Astyanax mexicanus: one gene and its partner. The protein of the gene in region 2 purifies or fractionates together with the protein of the main gene of each other region. This does not show direct contact. Links are inferred from orthologs where the notes say so. Each region holds a gene or a part of one and is shown on either strand. Other genes may lie near its edges. The genes, in order: tmem186 and heatr3.

Region 1 (12,269 bases), on a different chromosome or scaffold from region 2:
ACAACACGATGAGGAAAAAGAAAACAGCACTGCAAAAAATTAGCAAAAAAGGTTTTAAAATTGTGAAATTACTTCAGAGAAGATATAATTAGTATAATTAAAGTATTAAAGTATAATTAGGCAGACATCTGAGAATTCTCTGGTTAAGAGTTTACATGCACTGAGAAAATACAGTTACCAAGATAAAATCCAGCTCTCTTTATTCTCAGATTTTTAGACCTTACTTCAATCTAAAAAAAACAAAGTATGCTGTTCACTTTTGAATATATGAATAATCAGATAACTACAGTAATCTGATTATGAACATATGTAAACACAGTTACAGGCTCAGAATTCCAGACAGGAAATTAGACTGGTGTTGAAGATGAATGAAGACTATCCATTGAAAGGATGAATAACCTACTGGATTTATTGTGTGTCTTGGAAACTGCCCCTCATTGTTAAACACCAATATCAGGATTATCAAATAACTGTGCTTAAATGTTCTGTCAGTGTTGGATTTTGGTTTCTCTATTAATTATTTTACTGATTAAACTAAAGCTGTCCTCTTTTTGTTTGTGTCTAGCGGTTAGTGGGAACACAACGTATATGTGTCAGCTAGCCAGGACACTGCTCAGACACACCAGTGCCCAAGTGCTTCTGGCCACATGGATTGCTGCTATCACCGGATTGGCTGCTTGGTACATAATGTGATTTGACCAGTAGAAAATCACTATAAGGGCATTGCAAATAATTTAAAAGCAGTACACTGAAGTGAGATACAATATATATAATTCATATAAATTTCACTGTTATAACAGCCAATTGTGACAAAAGTTTTGTCACACTGTCTCTGGGTCAATGTGATGGACAACCCTCTCCCCCAACCCATTACTTACCAAGGTGCTAGCTAACATGGGAGTTTGTTAGCTAAAGAAACAGACCTGGTAGTAAGGGTCTCTTCCAAGCATCTTGAACATCTCTCAGCACAGCTAGCATGGGGGAGTGGAAAGAGCTGTAACAAACATTGAGAAAAGAAAAGGGAAAAATATACCTGCTACTTTTTGATTTCACCAGATGGCTCTTTAGCCAGATTGGGCATTACATATTCTACTGTTACTCAAAAATGTATTAAAGGGTAAAACAAAGCTTTTTGAGTGCTCTATGTTGTTAAACAAACGTAGAACCCCTGCTGTACTGTCTGCACTCTATATGGTGTTAACACCTCTAGCTCCTATGTTGTGTTTTGTTGTGATGTGATCTGATATTTATGAGGTGTGCACAAAACCTTCATTGTGTATTTGCTCAATACTACATAAAGTCTGAGACATTCTTTACTTACAATCAAAACAAATGGAACTATGGTAAAATACTGTATACCAAACAGACATTGTGTAAAAGTAATAAATTAAATAATAAAAAAAATAAAAGTAATCAAGCAACTTCATTGCCTGGTTAACTAAGAGTCCTCTGGGTTTTATGTGTACAATTTGGAAGTAGTATTTTTGTGGAACTGCACTTTATGGTCAAATTTATTGGTACACCTGCTCATTCACTCATTTTGTTTAAAATAAAGACAGATATTATTAGGCTTTAACTGTACAACTTGGAGTCTCTAGGCTTTCTACTAGAGTTTGGGGGACTGTTTTGGGGATTTGATTAAATTCAATTGTCCAAAAAAAAGTCCAAAGCTGTTGTGAGGTGATCTCTACCCCTAATCATCCCCAAATCCATTTTCTGCCAAAAGTATTGAAATATTGGATGAAGTGCCCAGAGAACACTGCTTCATAGCTCAATGCTGTGGGCTTTATACGCCTCTAGCCCACGTTTAGCATCGTGACAATTGGTGTTCACCTCCTGCAGAGAGTACTATTCTGTTGGCAGCACTTTTCTATATGGACTAAACAAGCTGTGTGTGTGCCTGTGCACATCTGCATCAGAAATGGACTTAATGAATTTATTCATTAGAAGGGGTCTCCTATAACATTGACATTTCACAGACATGTATGTATGTATGACTCTTATTGATTTCGACCACTCTGAATTACATTAGTCACAAGTTATTCAGTAAATTAAGATAATTCTATGAACTTATTAGGACAGATGACTCAGAGTTAGACTCTATTTGCAACCAACAGAATATAAATAAAACCTGGATAAGAAAGCATCTTTTTATTAACATCTTATAATTTAACAGCTAATAAAAGCTTGCATACATTACACCAGACATAATTTACAGGGCTACAATTTGACCACCATCAAGAGAAAGACCCGAACACTTTCTCAAAGCCGTCTCTGTCTACCACCCGCCCCAGCCTAGGTGAGAAATACATAGTGTCGGAGCAGCTGTATCGCTTCAGCCGCAGGATGGCTTCACCAGGAGAGTCGCCTGTGTCTCCCAGGGTCATGACGTCTGAAATGGGCAGGTACATGTCCCTCCTGTATCCCCAGAAAGAGAGGTGGGACACCTTTAATGTGGTCTGGGTCGAGTCCAGGTACATCATCCCCACTACTCGCCTGATGTAGTGGCTTATGGCGTACAGCATGACTGCAGCAAAAGCTGCGATACCTGTGGTGTAGGTCAGCAGGGTGACAGACGCCTGTTCCTGCAGGTAAAAATAAAAGACGGCAGGCAGGAGAGCAGTGGTGATGCCTGTCTGCAGGAGCTTGAGTCTGGAGAGCGCCCGCAGTACTTTGATGGCTGGAAAAGTGTAAATTAATGAGTATTTCCTTGAGGCAAGATCAGAACTGGCAGAGAGAGCTCGGCACTGCAGTGGGAATGGCGGATGGTTATTTGGTACGATGACAGAAGACCTGGTCCAGCTTGCACCCCTCGTCCCTGTCTGTGTGTAAGGGAAGAGGAGCGGGCGGATACTCTGAGACTGACGGAGACATTGATGCCCAGGAGCTGCTATGGAGAAGGTCAGGCGGATCAGACCTGGTGACCTCAGCTGTAAAGAGATGACACTGTTTACTAGAGGTATAATACACACTACATTGTAGTGCATCATTGCAACACTGAACGTTCAAATAAACAGTAACACAATAAAGGGATCTCCTATAATAATAGTAATTCTTGAAATATTTTATATGCAACACTCCAGCACTTTCCCAGAAGCCCAAAAAACTACCACAATGCCAGTGTAGATTTTTAAGCCCCTCCTACAACTTATTGCCTCATCAGACAGTGTTTTTCTTTATTTGTATGGTTTATGCAGTAAGATTATAGAACATAGTTTATCAACCTATCATTATCCCTTAAACAAGTGATTATTGTCACAGTTCTGTTCTGATAACCTGTAAACCGGGAACTATAATCAGGATGAGAATATAGATGTATCCCAAAACCTAGGTCAAGGTAGGGTGCATTTCTCAGGTCATTTCTAGGTCACACAGTTTTTGAGGTTAAAACTGATATATCCTCCACATAGTACACTCCTACAAAGACTTGACTGCAGCCTAGTCTTTAGTGTGGAAGACATCAGTGTGAGTGGGAGGAGCTAGGTCTGCTGAAGAGGCAAGTGCATTTTGTGGCATCACAAAAAAGGGAATTCAAAACAGACTGCTTTTGTAGCTTAGTTTCCAAATCTGGGCTGTTTATACAAATTCTAAAGTTTCACAGCTATGTTTACAGATCACATTAAAGCATTTAACTGCAGACCTTTTCACAGTTGCCGCATCATCATGTTTGGCACTTGCACTGTTTTACAGAGAGCCCACCAGTTTTTTTTTTAGACTTTCTCAAACATCTTTACAGGAGCACAGCTAACGTGTTTGAACATTCCTCCAGCCGGACTGAAGGCAAGTATGTAATGGAATATTGTGTAATACTCATTAGTGTAAGATATGTAAAATCCTACAGGCCTCCCATATCTCTGCTGTTGATGAGCTTTTATTCTAACAATCGAAAAAAAAAAAAACCCTCTGAATTCATTAACAGACACAAAAGTTTGAGAAAGTTCTACTGAAGAACAACACCTTAGCTACCCTTTGGCAAACACATGAAACCTTGGACACCCACAAGAGCAACCACAAAACACCTTAACATCCACCTAAATACTACAGCAACCATCAAAGCACCTAAACAACCACTGGAAATACAACAGCAAGCAGCCTAAAATATCCATAGCAAGATTTTTACTTAAGAAAACACTACAAATACCATAACGACTTAATATCCAATACCTTACAAACCATCTTGAGCACTTTAGAAACCACCTACAATACCAAGGGCATCCACGGTAGTAACAACCAGGAACCACCTAAGCAATACCATAACAACCACCTTATCAAAAAAACCTTATCAAAAATATGAAATACCACAGCAACCACAAAGAAATCAAATTCATAGCATCCACATGGCAACCTCCCAAAATACCATAGCATCTCTCTTCCAACCCAGCAGGAACACCATAAGAATTGCAGAGTAACCACCTGACATACCGATACCTTAGCAATAACTTGGGAGTTTAATGACCAATTAGCAACAAGCCTGGATGTGAATTTAAACTGCACAAACTTTCTGAATTTACTTCTGAAAAATAACTTTACTGAGTGTCTGAGGATAAAATATCCGTTTTATTGATTAATCGGCAGGTGACTCTTTAGCCAGATTTGGTATTAGATGGATATTTTATTCCTCTTAATACATCATGTGTTAAACAATTTCATTAAAATTATTCTCACACGGCAGAATACAAATACTGACGGCATCCACATGGGTCCACAGGCCAACAGGAGGCTATAGTAATATAACTCAGTGACCTCAGAGAGAGCTCTGTTAGCATACACAGCTAATGTACTGTAAACATCTGTATGTACTTATAGAACCTTCTAATCACATAAACCTATTCAGGAGTTATTGCTGATTATTTACCTTCTGAAAAAACATTTTACTTGTTTTTAGAAGTGTGTAGAATTCTATAAACGCTTACCATTTCAGCCAACACATTTACTGCCAGCGTATAAACAGCGTTTAACACGGCGTCAAACACGTCAAAATAAGAGTCCCGGCTCTAACGTTCATGCAACCGTCTGGTGAGTTTTTTTTTATATATAAAATAAAAGTAATATAATGTGTGCTTCTAATGCAACATTTACCCTCAAATTACATAGTTCCTATAAGCAGGAAAGGAAACATTGTTTCTTATGAAAGAAAATGATTGAAATTAACCTATTCCTTTTAAAAATATACGGGTTTTATTAACATAATTTCCAATGGTACGGTATTCCAATGGTGCCAAAACCACTTCCCCAATTTATTCTGCCAGACGTTCCCTCTTAAATCCTGCTTAATGTGTATTAAATCCTGCTTAATGTGTATTCAACAAACACATTCCACCTAAGATTTAAAATATCACTGGTAAATTAAAAATATATATAAATGTAAAAGATGATGGTAATTACGTGTCTCAATTTTTGTCATTTAATTTTAGTATTTTGTAAGCAAATTTCTTTTTTCTATTATTAACTTGCAATGTTGCCAGATGGGCTGGTTTTCTGCCAATTTAATCGGGCTGTGTTAAGAATTTACTGGAGGAAACGCTGAGGGTTGACAAAACTACCAAGTGGTAAGATTTTGGCAATTTGGCTTATCAGTGTTATAGATAGCTAACCTGGCAGAGATAGAGATAGTTTTGCTGATGGAAATGTGAATAAGCAGTGGTTGTGTTCGTTATTATGTAAGTAGCTTCTTTTCTCATAGCTTAATTATGAGTTTCTTTGATTTTGCAAAACTGAAATCCTCTGGAATATAATCAAGAGTAAGATAGATGATCACAAACCATCAAACCACCAAACTGAACTGCTTGAATTTTTGCACCAGGAGTAAAGCAGCATAAAGTTATCCAAAAGCAGTGTGTAAGACTGGTGGAGGAGGTTGTTATATTACCAGATTAAATTCGTTATATTAACCGATTAAAGACGTGCTGATTTCGACGAGTTCAGCACCGCCGCCATGAAAAACACTTTATCTTGGGAGTGCGTATGCACTGTCTTCTTGATAAAGGTACCTTCTCTTATATCTGCTACATTACCTTACATACTACTACTACTACTACTACTACTAATAATAATAATAATAATAATAATAATAACAACAACATTATTTATAAAACACCATTCATGCATTAAAATGCAGTACAATGCTTCAAAATAAACTTAAAAAAAATAAAACAATAATATAAATATAAACAATAAAATAAAGCAAAAACAACTAAAAAGTAAATATTTTTATTTTCAAATATTGTTAATTTTAAAAGTAATAAAATAATATTAAATATATTAAGTATAGACATCAAGTATTAAAATATAATATAGATAAAATAAACATAATAGAAATAAGAACAAAATAAAAAAAAATAATAATTGATGAAAAAAAAAACCTGACACTTGCATGTGTGTTATGTTTGTAATTTAAATAATTCTTATTTTTCCAAGCACTTTACCCATGATAGCGTCTATGGGTCATTCACAATTTCATTAAAATTATTCTCACACGGCAGAATACAACTACTGACGGCATCCACATTGGTCCACTGGCTAATCCACTTAAAAGTTGTCAGCAGAGGGCAGCATGAGGTGCTGTAAGATTTTCCAGGGAAACACTGCACTGACTTTAGACTTGATAGTAAAACAATTCAATTCAATTGGACACCAGAGTCTGAAGGAAGAGTGGAGAGACACATAGGCCCTTTCCCAAACCGTTCCCTCCTCACTAACACTCCACGACAGAGTGACACTCCATATGAAGTCACACTCTGTGCTGTGAAGGGTGCTTCCAATTAAGGGGAGGGTATAAATTTAGGAGTCAACTCTGGGACGCCCTTTTTGCTTTCTAGCGGAAAAAGGAAGCTGCCGTCACCATGGCTACCGACAGACGCCTTGCTGTCATGTCTTGTGCTTTGATATCGTTTCAGAATCTCCAAGCGGGAATACGAGCTGTCAGGAGACGCAAGTGCCTGCTACATCGTGCTGCATTACTGCATCAGCAAGTGTAGTACAAATGTGTAGTTATGTTTTAATAAAAAAAAAAAATGTGTAAATATGATAATAATGTTATTGATAGTAATGTCTATAACGATAGTTATGATAGTCTATTATAGACATTACAATCTAATGTGTATGTTCAGTGGTAAAGAAAATAGGTAAATTAGGTAAATTCACAGCCTAAATGTTGTTTGCGGATAAAAATGAGGTGTGTATTCAAATAGTTTTTATGAGATAAAATCAATCATCTGTATGATATTTAAAACATGTCTCTTTGCAGCGAGGCAGGATGCTGTACATCCAGATTAATTCAGCAGTGCCCATTTTACGTCTCTACAATAATCCAGAGACCTGCTTGAGGAGAGATTTTCGTTTGACCCGTCAGTCTGTGACACTTTTGCTGAAAATGATGTCGGAACATTTGTACGGTGTTTCCTCCATTCTCCTTTTTAAGCTGCACTTCCGTGGAGCGTGGTGGTTGAGTGTGCTCTGGTGTACACTCGCTGTTGGAGGGTTTTATAGTCCACTCCCACTCCGTCCTAATCACTTTGGGACAGCCCTTAATGTGGCGAGCACTCCACCTGAACGCGCAAACGGAGGCGGAGTAGAGGGGCGGAGTGAGTAGGGAGCGGTTTGGGATTGGGGGGCAGTCTGAGCTGCTTGAGGTCTAGTGAGAAGTTTCCACCAATCGGTGATGGTTTGGAGAGACATGTCATATGCTGGTGTTGGTCCACTGTGTTATATCAAGTCCAAAGTCAGTGCAGTGGTTTCCCACAAAATATTACAGCACTTCATGCTCCATTTTCCAGCAGGACTTTGCACACTCACCACACTGCCAAAAGTACTCATCTATATAATACATGAGTTTCACATTTTAAACTGAAGTGTTTTCATTACTTTTTAATGACATTCAATTTTTCGAGATGCACTAGTATATAATACAATAATACAATTAAATATTTTAATTGATATTTTAATATACATTATTTTATTTTATATTAGGGCCCAGTTAAACAAACATCGAATATTGTTGATATGCTGAACATCGCCTTTTTGAGCGGTTTTATTTGCATTTTAGCAGATTTGAAACACGGTTTACCCAGTGACTTTTACCTGGTTTTACCTGTGTGCCAATGTAACAATCTGGCAACCCTGGTGGTTGTCTGTGAAAGAGTGCAGGCTGTAGTGAAAAAATGTTCGCGCAGATTATACAGGCTGCGTCCAGAAACCCCAAAAGTGTCTCCTTTTTCCTACCGATCCTCCTCCTCTCCTCCGTGACCCGGAAACTGATTTCATGATGCCATCTTGCCGCCTGTCCGAATACCGTAGGAGACGAAAGAAGCCGCTTAAAATCCACCTGTAGTAGGCTTCCAACGGAGGTTACATCAGTGTATCCTACTCCGGAAGACTTTCCAATGACATCACTGCATCTACGCCCACAGAGTACGCGAAAATGGGGAAGGCAACGCCCAAATATACGTCATAAACATATTAATCAACTAGGTTCCTTATCTAATTAAACAGCCAGTAAAGCAGTAATATAATTTATAGTTTAGATAAACTGTATGCTCAGTAAAACTATATTTATGACCCTATGTGTATCATGTTATACATATAAAAACATATATATATATATATATATATATATATATATATATATATATATATATATATATATATATATATATATATAATTTTAATTAATTTATTTATTTACTTATTTATTTTAACTTAGGGACTGATGAGTAAACTGAAACCCTCATAAGGCTGAGGTCAGACAGGGCTGCCAGAGTCACTGGCCAGAAATGCGGCCAAAAATGCGGCTGGGAGTACTCAGGATTTTATTGGAATATCTGAATTTTTAGCTGTGTGTGATAGTAATGTTCTGAAACGTGCTGAAAGTGAGCGTTGTGATTGGCTCAGTTCAACGGTAGTCAACATCCCATCTAAAAGTGATCAGCTGTCCCATTTCCCCAATTGCAGCTCATTCCCTCCATTCCTCCTCCTCTCCTCTCCTCGATTCCTCCACCTTCTTCCAGGGTAGGAGAGGAGGAGTAGGAAAGGAGGAGTAGGAGAGGAGGAGTAGCAAAAGTTTCTGGACGCAGCCACACTCTACAAATCATCTGCACACATAGCTTTAACGATCAGCAAACGCAGCCTAGCTCTGCATCAAACAGGCGCTCCTAAAACGCAGACAATAGCAGTGACTAATGACAGCTGGCCTGCGCGAATACCGTGCATTCAGGAACGCGCTATAACTAACGCCAAGCGTCCTTCTCCGGTTCGGGGAGCGTCTCTCCGGCGGTGTCGGGCTGCTGCTGCTGCTGCGGGTTTTTGACAGCTGCTGAGGAAAATGAGGTTTTCCTCTAAACAGCTTTAAACGCGACACCTCGCCGCTGTTTCCCGCCTTCAGCTCAGCGCTGCCTGCTGACTGACCGCTCCGCCGCAGCAGCTGTATGGAGAGTCGCGTGCTGGTTCTCCTGTTTATTTTAGTAGTGTTTATATGTTTAATATTACCCGCCGACAGCATGCTGCAGCTGGGGGACGGAATCACCTGCTTCTCGGCCGTCTTCCTGGTGGTCCTGCTCGGAACCAGGAGCGCGGTGTGGTCCACGGGGCTCACGGCCTCCCTCTACCTCTTTCTGGTGCTGTTCCGATTCCCACAGCTTCCAGTCTCTCGAGTAAAGCAAGTGCTGCGGCCGGGGGCCAGGCTCGCCCCCGGGGGGGTGTCTATCGTGGCTCACCGCGGCGGAGGACACGATGCTCCGGAGAACACAATAGCTGCTATTCGGGCGGTAAGGTCCATAATATTCCCGTAATATTCTCATTATTCTCTCCAGAGAGGGACCTTCACGTGAAATAATGACTAGAAGAAAAACAACTGGTTAACCAGCTAGCTAGTTTTTACCAGAATACGAAATGTCTCTTTTTGGTTTAACAGGCTATTAACCAACCATCAAATATCAGCTACCAACAAAACCTAGACTTGATGGATTTTTCAGCGGGGAAGTTAAAAACATCTAAAGATAACATCCTAACATACAGACTGACCTATACTGTGCATCTCTGCTATCTACCTATATCAGCAGAGATTTCTCAAGCTGGTCTGACCTTCAGCACATGTCTCAGCTTGCAGGGATAGTTGAGAAATAAGAAACTGTGAACTAGTCCAGGGGTTTCTGAGAACACGTTTGAAACCATTGTCCTAGATTGAAGTGATCTGTGGTCCACCATCGTTGCAATCAACAGAATTCATCAGCTTAAAAACCTAAGTATGTTTCCCTGATGGCAACAAATAATGTCACCAAATATGGGCCACATATCACTTGTGTGTGATGCAGAACACTTTGGTTTGCCCATTACGATAATAGTTCAAATTAATAATTATTTTTATTATAATAATATTTATTATTATTATTATTACTGTAGTGCTAGTATATGGAAGATGTGGTCTAGGTTCAGGCCACATTAATGTTTCTGTCACGGTTGTCAATAGTCTTCTCATTTTGAGATCCATTTAGTCTAAAATAAACCCCTTAAGCCTGGAAAGGGGAAGTGGGGAACAGTGAAGCCTTCTTAGCTGCTGAACCAGCAGAATTATATTCACAAGCAGGGAAAGCAGAATGGGTCCCTGGCATAAACATTACTGTAAGCTAGCTTGTGTTCCCAACAATTCTTATCACTGTATTTTTCAGGTACAAACGGTTCATTTTTGTAATTGATAAGCTTGCAGTTTACTTAAAAACACTAAGCAGAAACAACGCAGTCTAAACTTTGACTTTGTCTGTGCAGAATGCACAAATATCCTTAAATATCTGGAATCAAGATTTTTTGTTTTGTTGCATTTTATTTATTGCTATGGTTTATTATTGTATTAGCAAACCCAAAATGTGTGTTACTAATTCGTTTTTGTATGTAAGTTTTACATACACAGACTTTTTGTGAATTTTGAAAATGCACATAAAAAACTGAATGGAAAAGGACAAATTAAATATAAAAAAAAAAACACCCAAATATTGCACAAAAAAAAATCTTTATGCTTGATCCACCCTATTGTCCCCATGCAACTCTGTACACCCTATACTACTTTATACAACATTATACTGCCATATACTATTCTATGGTACCATATAATCTTTATATTACTCTATACTGGCTGGTCAGTAGAAACAGAATGGTCTGATCATGACATTTTTTATACATAAGATATTACTGTTTTAGCAATGGTTGTGACACATTTGTTTTCAGACATATTTGTTCAGTATTTGTTATAAGGTTATATATGTGCCAACTGGAGGAAATCGTTGGTCAACCAGCAGTACCAATGCTAGCAGTTCTTCCTCTTTTTATGTAAGACATGACCTAAATCCTAATCATGACTTAATGTACTAGACTTTAGTTTTCTTTCTCAGTGTTCTTGTCCTGTTTTCTCCAAGGCTAGCGCAAATGGAGCAACAGGAGTGGAGCTGGATTTGGAATTCACTGCTGATGGCGTTCCTATACTAATGCATGATGAAACTGTGGACCGGACAACCAACGGATCAGGACCTCTTAGCAAACTGCGCTTCTCAGAAATTGGCAAACTGGATGCAGCAGCCAAGCACAGACTGAGGTAATTTATCTAATGGAGATGTCGAGAGAACAGTGTTCCTTAGCAAACAGCTCCACCATCAATGATGTGTAGACATTCAAAATGTTTTATCTGGTTATTTTGGCTTGATCATAGATTAAATACATGGAATTATAAATGCACCCAAGAAAAACTGCATTTTCAGCCGTTGCATCAATGAAGGCTGTTCTATTTTTTTTTCTATCATTTCTTAACTCATGAAGTCCACAGTGTTCCACCAATAAGGCCTTACATAGTGTAGCAGCCCCCTCAAGCTTCCAAAACAACTCTGACCCATTGAGTTAGACTCCACAAGTGCTCTGAAGGTGTCCGTTGGTATCTGTATCAAGACATCAGCAGCAGATTCTTTACATCCTGTAATGCTATCTTCACACTACATGACTTTCAGAGGATCTTGTAATCTGGAATCTTTTAGGCATTAGGGTTTGTACTTCATCAGTCTGTAACCAGTAGGAACCCGCAATGAGTCTGTCTGCTCTACAAAAACTTTTGTCATGATGCATGAAATGTTTTTGCATTACAGTAAAAGGACACAAAATCGGATTAAAAATATGTATTACAAACTCCACTCTCTGCTTTCTCCTACCTTGTGTTCTTCCAAGCATTTTGGCTGAGGCTTTTGTCAGCCATCTCAAAAAACAATTGGCGTTATGTGTTGTGTGTGTGCTCTTAC
Region 2 (12,743 bases):
TACTAATGTCAAAATGTAATAAATAAAATCATAAAATTGGCTCTTTCCTAAACTTCATATTCAAATCAATATTTTCTGAATACAAATCAAGCAGTTCATGTCCTCCAAACCTTTAGTTTCATTATGCTTGTCTAGTTTTTACATCTATTTTCAAACATGCAAAATTGGAAATTATTAAGTGAAGTAAAGAGAAAACAGGCAGCTTCTCTAAGTGTCCTGTAGGAGATTTCAAAGCTCTCAAAGTTTTCAGAATGTAAATAAAATTTTTTTTTTTATCTCCTACACCAGTAGCCTGTATACATGACAAGGCATGTTAAATGATTAACATATGACTGAGCAATAATTAAAAATAAAAATTAAATAAAAATACTCACAGGTAGAAAATCAGAGATGTCTTTATCAATCTTTGCATGTTTCCCATTCTTCTTCCTACCGTTCTTCTTCACCTCCCCATCTCCCTCCTCCATCTCCTCCTCCTCTTCCACAGAAGCTCCATTTCCTGTTGCAGGCTGCTCCTCTGAATGCGCTGAAGCTGAGACTGGCTCAGCTGTGCTTTTGCTGGCTAGTCGGCTCTCCTGGGCCTGCCACAGATCAGGGATCAGTGACCCAGTGTCCAGACTGAGGCAGTGGGCAAGAGTGGCCACCACCGCGGTCAGAGCTTCTGCCTGACACTGGGAGGAGAAGCAGGCCTTTAGGTTCCATACTGATCCTGAGAAGCGGAGGGAAAAACAGTAAATAAATAGAGCCAAGGTTGTCTTTACAGTCTGTGGCATTTTAAGGCTTTTAATTGATGGATTTAAAGACATTTTTTTAAGAAATGCATATTTAACAGTCGTATCCATCTCTGTACCTGCAGCCAGTGTGCGCAGCAGAACGTGCTCCATGCTGGACTGTGTGGAGAGCAGTACATTTTCCAGAGCAGCCAGAACTGCCCCGCTCACACTTCCTGTCAGCTCTGAGTTATCCTCAGTCACTGTGTGTAGACAGTGGGCTGCAAACACAGATTAAAACAAGAATAAGCATATATACTCAGTCACTGTAAACACATGCAGCAGAAGGTATAAGCAGTCAAAGTGGACACACAGGAAGAGAAGGGTGGGTTAATATTGCATATTGCAGTGTATCAGAATATATTCTGCATATAATTAAAATATTATTTGGTGTGTGTGTTTCACCTGCTGATACAGCGAGTTGGATGTTCTGTGGATGTCTCTCCAGGCAAAGCAACAGAGCATCCGTAAGCCCAGTTCTATTAAACACAGATACTGCTGTACTGCTGCTCTCACTACAAACACAGACACAAACATATTGTTTAAAAAAAATATTAAAAGATAACCCATGAATTTTATTTATTTATGCTTTTAAATACAGGTTAATCTACAGATAGAGTAGATACAAAAATCACCAGTTTAATATGCTGTGTTTATATTGCTGTGTATTAATTCTGCTATAAGAAGTGAGTGTACCAGAGGTTCCAGAGTAAGTTCACAGCTTCATTTGCTACACCCTCCACTGTGTACTTCTGTTCCTTTTTCACTGGGCTGGAACTTGGCTGAAATCCTCCACAGCACTGCAGGAATAAAGAGAAATAACCCTCATCAAAAACCCTGGTAAATGAACAGGCACAATTATTGACAAGAATTTATTTTTTTTATATAATTTTATTTATTTTTTTCTCAATTTACACAGCCAATTACCCAACCCACTCATTAGGACTCCCTCTATTAATCACTAGTAATGCCCCAAATCCAGAAAGGTGAAGACTAGCACATGCCTCCTCCGATACACGTGAATTCATCTACCGCCTCTTTTCGAACTGAAGCAGCATCGCTGAAGCGCAGTGACTTGGTTCCAATACATCAGCTCACAGATGAAGCCTTGTGCTGAGCGACATCACCCTTTGAAGTGATGTGGGGAAAGAGTGCCCTCTACCCAACCAGAGAGAGTAGCTGATGGCAAGCTACATGATCAGGAATCGAACCGGCGATCTCCTGATTATAGTGGCAGCACTTAGCCCGCTGGATCACTCAGAGCCCCAACAATATTTTTTAATGTGTAGCTCCAGCTATCCTGATCAGCTTTTCTTTTTTTTATACTGTAGATTACTTCAAAATTAATCATTATCAGACAGTATGAAACTATATATATTTATACAGAAATCCTATAAAGCTTTGTAAATATATATCTTTAGTAGGTTTAAGCAGTGATATGACCACAGAGTAGATCTACAGGTTGGCCCCTAGTGAGTGAACTCACCTCTTTCAGAAGGGCAGTCAGGGGAGTGAGCACATCCTGTCGCACCATATCCTCACACACATCCGGGCCTCCACAGGCACTTAGGTTTCTGTAAAATTATGATGTTATGAATAATTATTGATAATATATGTTAAAAGCAATATTGATAGTCAGTGGTGGCACCATGGCTCACTTTAAAATGACAAAAATATGTCTAATAAAATTCCTCAACCAACAAACTTCACTCTAGGCATATTTAGGTTTTTCAGACAATTAAAAAATTTTCCATTCTTGATTACACGTTTAATATTATTATTATTTTTTTTTTTTGCATAAGCATACGCTGACACAGCATTTCTAAGGCTAATAACTTCTGAGTTAGGAAACACAGTGTCAGTGATGTAAAGCACCAAAAGAAATTTGAGTAAATCTTTAAGCACAAGAAATTACTTTTAATATTATTGTTCTGCAATACTGTATAAATTCTCAACAACACACTATTATAATTGTAATAGTTTATATGTAAATATCTGTGTAAAAAATGTGGTTTATTTTATATCATGTTTAACCACACTGTTACAACCTGGTCTAGGGTCAGGTCGCAACAGAAAATGAGAATAAGCTCGCTCCCCAGACCCTTTTGCCAGACTAAAAACCAGACCACTTTACCCCAAGATAAATAAGAAACTGTAACAAAAGTAACAGAAAATATGAAGTGGATGTGCTGGGTATGTCTGAGAAAGACGTTTTTTTCCAGGACAGGAAAGAGAAAAAGCCCTGGGAGTCTTTTTGTAGATGTAACTATTGGTGTGTGTTTATACTTTTATTTAATTAACTGTGCAATTTTAAATAATAAACCATTTTCCTAAAATTCCAAACAGTATCACAAGATATTGCAATATATTTTATTGTAAATCTTATATTGTGTTTATTTTGACAGACAAACCAAGTCTACAAGATGCTTTGCATCTATAAAAGAGCTATCTTTTATATAAAAAAAAACTTCTTGAAACTTTTATTAAATATGTAGCTTACCTGAGTGCTCCTGTAGCAGTCTCTCGAACCGCTAGGCTGCTGTCCAGTAGTAGTGGTCCAAGTCTCCTCACTGCATCTCTCTGCAGAAAGCTGGGGATGGTCTGGCTCTGCTGGACAACACGTGAGATACTCGCAGACGCATACTCGCGCACATCTGCACAGGGACTCTGCAGCTGAGAGAACAATACCAACAGACAGTCAGTCAGATAGACAGAGACAGACAGATAGTGATGTGAACAGTAAGCATGTCAGACAGAACTACTTTATAATTCTCCTTTCACTTCTTCTTCAATGGTAAGGGCCCCACAGAGAAGGTATTATGTGGGTGGTGCGTCATTCTTTCAGAGCACTGCAGTGACACTGGCATGGTGGTGGTGAGTTAGTAATGTGTTCTGCTGGAATTAGCATATCAGCCACAGCAATGCTCATGAAATAAGTGGAGCGTTTAAAATGAAAGTAGAAGTGAGAGTGTAGAAACAAGGATATGGTGTTTATGTTCCAGCTGATCACTGTAAATACTATTTTCCAAAAAAAGTTTTAATTAACTGAGGGGCTGCTTTATTTACACAAATTAAATACTCAGCACTAAGATACACACATTGGATTGGGTAAAAAAAAAAAAAAAAAAGAACTTGATCCAGACATCCCTAAGTCAGTCATTCAGACAGAAAGTCAGTCAGTCAACTGTGGAGCTTCAAAAGTGGAAGAGTAATCTGGCCCATGGCAGAACTTTTTTTTAAGATGAGCAGATATATTCTAATGAAGTGTTGAGTTCTAAGTATAGCTCAAATATATACCTTGTCGTTTTATTCTATAAACTACGAACAACATTTCTTCCAAATACCAAATAGAAATATAGTCATTTAGAGAATTTATTCGCAGAAAATGAGAAATAGCTGAAATAGCAAAACAGATGCAGAGCTTTCAGACCTCAAATAATGCAAAGAAAACAAGTTCATATTCATAAAGTTTTTATGAATATGAACTTGTTTTCTTTGCATTATTTGAGGTCAATATCTGTGGAATAACCCTGGTTTTTAATCACAGTTTTCATGCATTTTGGCATGTTCTCTTCCACCAGTCTTACACGCTGCTTTTGGATAACATTATGCCGCTACTGGTGCCAACAATTCAAGCAGTTCAGCTTGGTTTGATGGCTTATGAACACCCACATTCCTCTTGAGGTTTTTAACTTGGTAAAAAAAAAAAACTCTTTTTAAGTGGTCTTTTACGAACACTGAGGATATAACACTTTGATACAGTGTAAAGTAGTCGGTGTACAGCTTGTATAACAGTGTACATTCTCTGAGCCATTATACATAATCAACACAGCCATTAATGTCTAAAACCACTGGTAAAAAAATGAATACACGCCTAAGTGAACATTGTTTCTATCCTTAAATACAGCCTGTTCACACTTGAGTATCATGGTTTGACAAGGCAGCAAAACTCAGCAGAACACTGGTCAGTTAGCTAGCATTAGCGCTCAGCTCTAGGTATATCTATATACCTTCTCCAGCAACTCCACCGCCGGAGACTCTTCAGCCTCCTCCTGCTGCTCCTCTTCCTCCAGCACGTCCTTAACAGCGGACACGGAGAGCCCGTCCGCGCTGAACTGCGGCCGTTTGTAGCGGGTGTTCTTGGTTTTTCCCATCGCGCTGCGGGTTACAGTGTTTTAATCTGTTTGTATTAAAACGTGACTGAAACTGACTGCTTCCACTGCCATGTGGAGGTCCACTGCCGCCTGCCCGAAACCATAGCAACGGGCCGTAAAGCCACGCAGTACTGTCGTACACCGTCGCAAGGCAGCATTTCAGCTGCCCAAGAGTGCACCCATGTGGCACCAAAACGGGTTACAGTCTTTTAGTGTTTTTTTTTATTTATTTTATTAATATTAAAGACATGGAGACAATTAAAGGACACATAGGGAATTACGCAGTAAACAGTAAAAACAGTTAGCATGAGCTGAAGCTTCACAGCGTGAAGTAAAAGCAGCAACTATTGTTCAGCACCTCCAGAAACTCCTTTTTTCAAAACGCTGAGAAAACTATTCTAGGTGACTCTCCCTCATGAAGACACTGAGATTAAAATTTAAACCAAGAGTGTGCAGATCTGTCCTCAATGCTAAATGTGCAACTTAGAAGAATCTAAAATATGATCTGGTTTGTTTAACACATTTTATTTACTGAAATAATTCAGCATGTGTTCCTCCTGTAAAGTTTTTATATAGCCTTCAATATTAAATTTACAACGTACAAAATCATTAAAAGAAAGAAAACACATTTACATGAATGAGAAGAGGTGTGTCCAAACTTTTAACTCGTATTCAGGCCAAGCAATTGCAACAATGACAGGTTATTGACAGGTTATTGCTGCCATCAGGGAGGAGACTGCGGAGTCTCGGGGCGAGGACCAGCAGACTGCGAGACAGCCCCATCCATCAGGCTGTGAGGATGCTGAACTCTCATCCTGCTCTACCCCCCATCCCAATCCTGCCCCAAGCACACACTCACTGCCAAATTTCCTTCGGGATCAATCACCATCAATATTGCACTATTGTCTTACGTATGTTTATTGTGTCTTGCTGTATTTTTTTTTTTTTTTTTTTTTTTTTTTTTTTATTTCTAATTTTTTCCCATTTTCTCCCCAATTTACACGGCCAATTACCCAACCCATTCATTAGGACTCCCCCTATCACTAGTGATACCTCAACACACCAGGAGGGTGAAGACTAGCACATGCTTCCTCCGATACATGTGAAGTCAGCCACCGCTTCTTTTCGAGCTGCTGCTGATGCAGCATTACCGAGCAGCCAGCGCGCTTGGAGGAAAGCGCAGCGGCTCGGCTCCAGTACATCAGCTCACAGACGCCCTGTGCTGCAGACATCCCCGTAGGAGTGATGTGGGGAGAGAGCGCCATCTACCCACCCAGAGGGAGCAGGGCCAATTTTGCCCCTCTGACACCGGCAGCTTGATGGCAAAGCTGCATGAGCTGGGGTTCGAACCGGCGACCTTCTGCTCATAGTGGCAGCGCTTTAGACCGCTGGACCACTCGGCGCCCGTGTCTTGCTGTATTGAACATATAGTGTCTCCCACTCTTTTATATTATAATTATATAGCTATTTTTACTTATTTACTTATATTTATATATCTATTCCTCCCCCACACCACTGCACCTTGTTTTTGTCTCATGTATGTCTATTTGTGTCCCTGCTGTATTGTACACATAGTGTCTCCCATTCTCCTTTATTATATCTATTATCTGTACTTGCTGTAAAATTGGGAAGGAGAGTAACGTAATTTCAATTCTCTGTATGTCCTGTACATATGCAGTATTGACAATAAAACTACTTGACTTGACTTGACTTAAGAATTAAATGCAGCGACAAAATGTGTGAGCACCCTATTAAATTGTGACGGTCCATGAGCATAAAACTTTTATCACAATCCCCATCAAAGGGGCCCCTTCCACCACTTGCCTTCAAATCCTTGAGGGAAATTCCTACTTATGAGGTTAGAGGAGGTCAATTACAACTTAACATGTGTCCGAGTGTTTTTTGTTTGGGTGTAAATGGACACCAATTCTTTTGTTCATATTTTTGGTCTATAGACCACTGAAGTCGTGTGTCATTCTGTAGTCCTCGCATGGCTTCGGTGTCTAAGCGTTTTTTCACTATGAGGAAAATAAATCTGTTCAGAACCCTGTACATTTTATTCTGTGTACATTTTACTCCTGAAAATCACTGTATCACTCTTTTCAGCCCAACACCAGCGAACTCCGGCCGTATGTTTACAGCATATTACACCCAGCTAATCCAATTAATGAACTAATGCCCTCACTGAGGAGAGCAGAGAGTGTAACCAAACAGCAGAAAAAGACTAACCAAACAGAACAGAATAACCCAGAACCACCTTTAAAAGCTGTAGCACGTTTTACCATTTACCGTCTTTATTATGCAGTGGAATAAATTAGAGATGTTTGCTGCTTCTGGCTCCTTGCTGTAGTACATTAAGCCACGTTAAGATTTTTACTTATAATAGGTTTCAAATAATAAGACTGGTTATTAAGAAACCTGAAACTCCATCCTTCTAAATGTAAACTAAGAATTCAGGTAAATGGGATAAGCTGCTTGATTAATAAACACATCAGCCAAAGACTAGAGGGCAGGATCATACCAGAATTAATGAAGACTACACATTAAACCCTGATGAGCCTCAGATCTAGAACTAGTTACCAGCCTGAGGGGCATGTAGTAACTCTAATACATCTCCTTTACTTAATGAGAGCATTTACTACTATTCACTACTGTCTGGTAGGCATCTCTCCGGTGTTGGGTCATGTGGTCATTTATTCGGGTTAACGCTGATTTGATCAACTCTGTCAGATAACTCCCAACACTGAACATCATATAAAACCTAAGAGTGTTAAAATTACTCTTTGGGAGTGAAAATCAACTCGGAAATGATTCATTCTGAAATTTTAACAATACAGTTTTTGCTGTGATATTATAATAGCCTGCACTGTGGTCATGCAGTGTGGAAGAAACATCTAAATAATTATTATTAATATTAACATCTTATTATTTGTGGGAAGCACCTTCTCCTAAAAGCATTATGAGTGTAGAATAGCCCAGCACAACAATTTAAACCCTTTAAATTAATGTTAATTCAATACACTAAGAAAAATAAGTACAGATTTGTACTTAAAAGAGTACAAAACTTATGTATCGCTGGGGTTGTACCTTATATTGAGGTATAGAGTATCTTTTAGTAAAGTCTTTTTTTTACCCATGTTTTTTGTACCAGTAAAGATTATAAACATTAACTGAATTTGTGTCAAGAACATGATGATCCAAAATTGTCTGGCATGTCTGGCAAATAAAAAATGTATAATTAAAATATATATTGTTTATTAATACAGGGATACATAATTCCAAATGTACCTTTTCCCTGGTTAAATGGTACAAATCTGTGCTTGCTGCTGTTAGAAAAGACTTCAGAGGGAACATATCTGACCCTCTAAACATCAATATAATACATTTGAGGGGACAATTATGATACGACTTTCAACACTTGCCTATTATGCAATGTTGTTTTTATGTCATTAACCTTTAAAGATTTAATGCAAGCAAACATTTAGGTTTATTCAATATTCTTCTCTATCAGAGGGGCATAACAGTATATAGCCTGTATTACTGAGGCTGAACTGCAGCATTTGTCAGAACTTCAAACAACACTGCTGCGTTCTAAACGTGCCTGCCTATACGCGTAGCTCGACAGAGCAGCATCACTTCACGTGCGGTTGTTGTGAGGTTAGGTTGGTGATTTGAGCTGTTTAGCTGTTTTTAGCTGTTGGTGTGTTTAGCTGTTCTGAGGTTAAGTAAGTGTTTTTGGTGTTTTAGCTGAGTTGCTGTGTTTAGCTGTTGTGAGGTTAAGTTGGTGGTTTTGGTGTTTTTAGCTGTTTTGCTGTGTTTAGCTGAGTTTAGCTGTTGTGAGGTTGAGTTGGTGGTTTTGGTGTTTTTAGCTGTTTTGCTGTGTTTAGCTGTTGTGAGGTTAAGTTGGTGTTTTTGGTGTTTTAGCTGTTTTGCTGTGTTTAGCTGTTGTGAGGTTAAGTTAGTGTTTTGGTGTTTTTAGCTATTTTGCTGTATTTAGCTGAGTTTAGCTGTTGTGAGGTTGAGTTGGTGGTTTTGGTGTTTTTAGCTATTTTGCTGTGTTTAGCTGAGTTTAGCTGTTGTGAGGTTGAGTTGGTGGTTTTGGTGTTTTTAGCTGTTTTGCTGTGTTTAGCTGAGTTTAGCTGTTGTGAGGTTGAGTTGGTGTGTTTAGCTGGAGCTGCTTTTGTGGGGACGATGCCCAGGCCCGTAGCCAGCATTGTGATGGGGGGGGGATCTTTTTCCCCCAAAAGTGGACTTCATTTGGCTCTCTACTCCAATGCCCCCTAAATACACGAACACACTTCAAACCTTTTAATTTAGACATATTTTATTTATTATAAGTTTGTTGTGAATCTGTTGTTGCTGTCCTTATTTGTTCGTCTGTTGCTCCCCACTGTTAACATACATTTGATATAAATGTAAGTGTTACTCAAACTTCCTACATCTGTGATGTGACTTCATTGTCTGTCTCTGTTGCTCACCTCAGTTGTCTGTTGCTTTGTTCCATTGTCTCTGTTGCTGCCCTCCATTGTCTGTCTCTGATGTTGCTGTCCTTTATTGTCTATCTCTCTACTATTGACATAAATAGATAAGAATTACTTCATTAGGAACACTATCGGTATGGTCATTAAAACTTAAACATGAATTAATAATAATATAAATTGAAGTGTTCTGTCTTATTAAAATCTTCCTATAACTGTGCTGGGACTTCGTTGCCCCCCACACCCCCCCTCTCCCTTCAGCTCGCTGAACTCTGCGCCTGATTGGCTGACAGAGCTCATTTGCATGCCGTGGGTCTGCTGATTCATTAGATATGCGTGGATTCGTGGAGCGACCAATAATCCGCTTTTAATAACGCGTTAAAGTTGATATTTTTTTCTGCCTCAAATTATTTCAAGCACTGTTTGGATATATGTGAGAATTACTGGTGACTGGATTGATGGATTTTCTTAAGTTTGGAGGCGTTTTGAAGGTAAGAGTGTGGGGGAAGTGCTGGAGGGAGTTGGGTGTGTGTCTCGAGTGTCCTGAGGTAAACACAAAGCGAAACACAAGCAGATTTAAACTCTAAACACAGTTCCGTAATCCGGAGAGGCAGACGGTTCGAATGGTGTATATAACATGTCCGCATTCGATCAAATATGGACGTACGAAAAACGTAAATATGAAAATAATATTTCATAACTTTCATAAACCAGGCATATTTCGCCCCAAATGTTTATTTTCTGAAAGGAGATACGGCTAAATAGGCTAGATAACTGAAAAGCTTTAAAATGGCATATTGGGTGTCTACATTGAACCTATAAGTATTCATAAACACAGCCAGATATTAAATATGATATTTTTCTGGCCCGTGTTAAGAGGTTAACCCCCTTTTTACACCTCTATACTGTATTTTATATATGGCCTTAGGAGCAACAGGCATGTTGAGAGTAAAATACACCCTAGCTTGATCGTCAGAATTGCAAAGTGAGTGACTGAATGTTATTGTCACTTAACCTACATTTCTTAAAAATCAACTAAAATCCAGACTTTGGAGTTATCGCAATAATAACAGTAATAATCCGGTGTTACATGTACAATTATACTTTTGGGCTCAGCCGAGCCCGGCACTTTTAACGCAGGGGAGTTGTAAAGAAATAGAAGCCTGCACTCAGCAACTTACCGATTTTGGGCCTTTTTTGAACAAGTCACCAATATTTTGGGATAATGTTACCGCCGTTTTCTTCCGTTTTCGCTCCTTGTCTTCTTTTTTACCCATTTTCTCAAGTAACTTTCCCCTGATTCTTATTCTTTCCACAAGCTAAGAACAGAAATGGGGAAATTATCGCCACCTACTGGATTTGTGTAAAACAGTCTGAACAAAATGTGTAAAGAGAAACATTAACAATTTTTGAGCAGCAGTTACAGCCTTCATTGTACTGTACCGTGACGTTTTACGTGACAGTGCCGCGAGACAGTGTCACGTGGACCCCCTAGTGGTGCAGGCCAGTTACTGCAGTGGCATGCTGTGTCACGGGACAGTGTACTGTGCTGTGACGTTTTACGTGACAGTGCCGCGAGACAGTGTCACGTGCACCCCCTAGTGGTGCAGGCCAGTTACTGCAGTGGCATACTTTACATAGCAGTTAGACAGTGACAGTGGGACCTGACAGCGTTATTTACACTTGCAGCGCGTAAAAAAAGTGTTGTGAAGGGGAAACGGCTCTTTACCTAGCTGAGCCAGGCTGTTACTTCTGATTTCAAATCAAGGACGGCTGCTGTGCTTTTGACTGTTAATATTGCGAGTTAAATCAGCTGCTTAAATCGCATGACAATATGTGAAGTTCATAGGATATTCATTCAGACAGACATTGCCTGCTGTGGCGTTCCAGTCACAACGGACATGCGCCACTAGAGGACTTTTAAGATAAAAGCATGTCTGCCGTTTCTGGCACATGACAGCATTAATTAATCAGAGAGCATGTAATAATAGTATATTTTTTTTTTATGAACTGACACACTTATATATGTATCATGTATATTTACATGTAAACTCACATGTGCTACATCATTATGTCATTGTCATAAGTTTATAAGATATTATTAAGTTATTATTTTAGAAAAAAAAAATCAGAGCATGTAATACATCCGAATGAAATGTACAGGACAATTATTATTACATTATTAAAATTGTATAACACCCATTGCAGAATAAAAATGGTTAATATAAAGTATTTGTTATCATTCTACTGCAAAATTAATGCTCTCTATTTCTTTATTTGCACGTAGCACCGTCACATCCATGTAAAGTATGCCACTGCAGTAAAGGGCGTGCACCACTAGGGGGTGCACGTGACACTGTCTCGCGGCACTGTCACGTAAAACGTCACGGTACAGTACAATGAAGGCTGTAACCCCCTCTCCAATTTTTCTTACTCGTCACTACTCTGGGGGCAGGCGGGGGGGGGGGGGGGGGGGGATTGGGGTGGCTGAGGGGGGGGTTGTGGGGGATGGGGGGGGGATCGAACGAACCCTTCGATCCCCCCTGGCTACGGGCCTGATGCCGCTGAAGGAAGAGCGCTGAACCGGGCAGGGGGGATGAGGATCGAGTGAAGGAGGTCCTGAAAGAGCTCGATGCCCACACACTAAAAACTGCTGGGTTATTTTAACTACTCATCTGCTGGGTTATGAAATGTCTAACCCATTATGAGTTATTTCTATGGGAACTGGGTTATTTTTGGGGGGATTTGGGTTGTTTTTGTGCAACTCATGTGCTGGGTCAAAATTTCGCAAAGTTCTTCAACCCAACATGCATCAGTTGACCCAGCAGCTGGGTTGTTTGTGCTTCGACCGTCATCACGTTTACAGGACGTGCTCCTCCTCCACCATTTCGCGCCCAGACAGGCTCCATGCTCCTTCAGCAGCTCGCAGGTGCTCGAGAGAGACTGATCATCTTTGTGGTAAATATTTAATTCACGGTGTCTGTGTTGTGTTATAGCTAGTGTAAGGACCCCAATTCCCACTTTATCATTAACTATCAGCTTTATTTCACTGTAACTAAACGAATTAGGGGGAATACTGCTAACTGATTTGCTAGCCAGCAGGCTAATTTGCTAGCTTAGCTTAGCTTTTTCGTGTAGGTCTTTGCAAACATTTTTACAACATAGCTAGCGATTCTAAAATACTTTTTTTATGACAGGATTTTTTTGTGAGAATAAAGTTTAAGTGTTCGTCTAATGTGTGTGTGTGTGGGGGGGGGGGGGGGGGCAAAATGGTAAAATGGTACAGCTCCTCTCAAAATCAAATGCACTGAAGAGGGCTGCTAAAGACTCTCCCAGCTTAA

What was found.
Region 1: the proteins of heatr3 (region 2) and tmem186 purify together in Homo sapiens (co-immunoprecipitation; 3 studies listed by BioGRID and IntAct, counting the BioPlex papers as one, with this or other methods). This does not show direct contact. The link is inferred for Astyanax mexicanus from reciprocal best matches to the Homo sapiens genes HEATR3 and TMEM186.

What each region holds. Positions count from the first base shown.
Region 1 is NW_026040046.1:1,822,873-1,835,141, reverse strand, and holds tmem186 (transmembrane protein 186), read right to left. Parts: upstream 5,012-12,269; 5' UTR 4,917-5,011; coding exon 4,914-4,916; intron 2,931-4,913; coding exon 2,238-2,930; 3' UTR 2,137-2,237; downstream 1-2,136. Other genes in the region: hmox2a (heme oxygenase 2a), read left to right, coding at 566-693; gde1 (glycerophosphodiester phosphodiesterase 1), read left to right, coding at 9,423-9,761, 11,403-11,578. UniProt on the Homo sapiens protein: As part of the MCIA complex, required for efficient assembly of the mitochondrial complex I.
Region 2 is NC_064430.1:12,189,607-12,202,349, forward strand, and holds the start of heatr3 (HEAT repeat-containing protein 3), read right to left. Parts: upstream 5,035-12,743; 5' UTR 4,925-5,034; coding exon 4,781-4,924; intron 3,444-4,780; coding exon 3,271-3,443; intron 2,345-3,270; coding exon 2,257-2,344; intron 1,571-2,256; coding exon 1,467-1,570; intron 1,286-1,466; coding exon 1,176-1,285; intron 992-1,175; coding exon 851-991; intron 710-850; coding exon 375-709; intron 1-374. UniProt on the Homo sapiens protein: Plays a role in ribosome biogenesis and in nuclear import of the 60S ribosomal protein L5/large ribosomal subunit protein uL18 (RPL5). Required for proper erythrocyte maturation.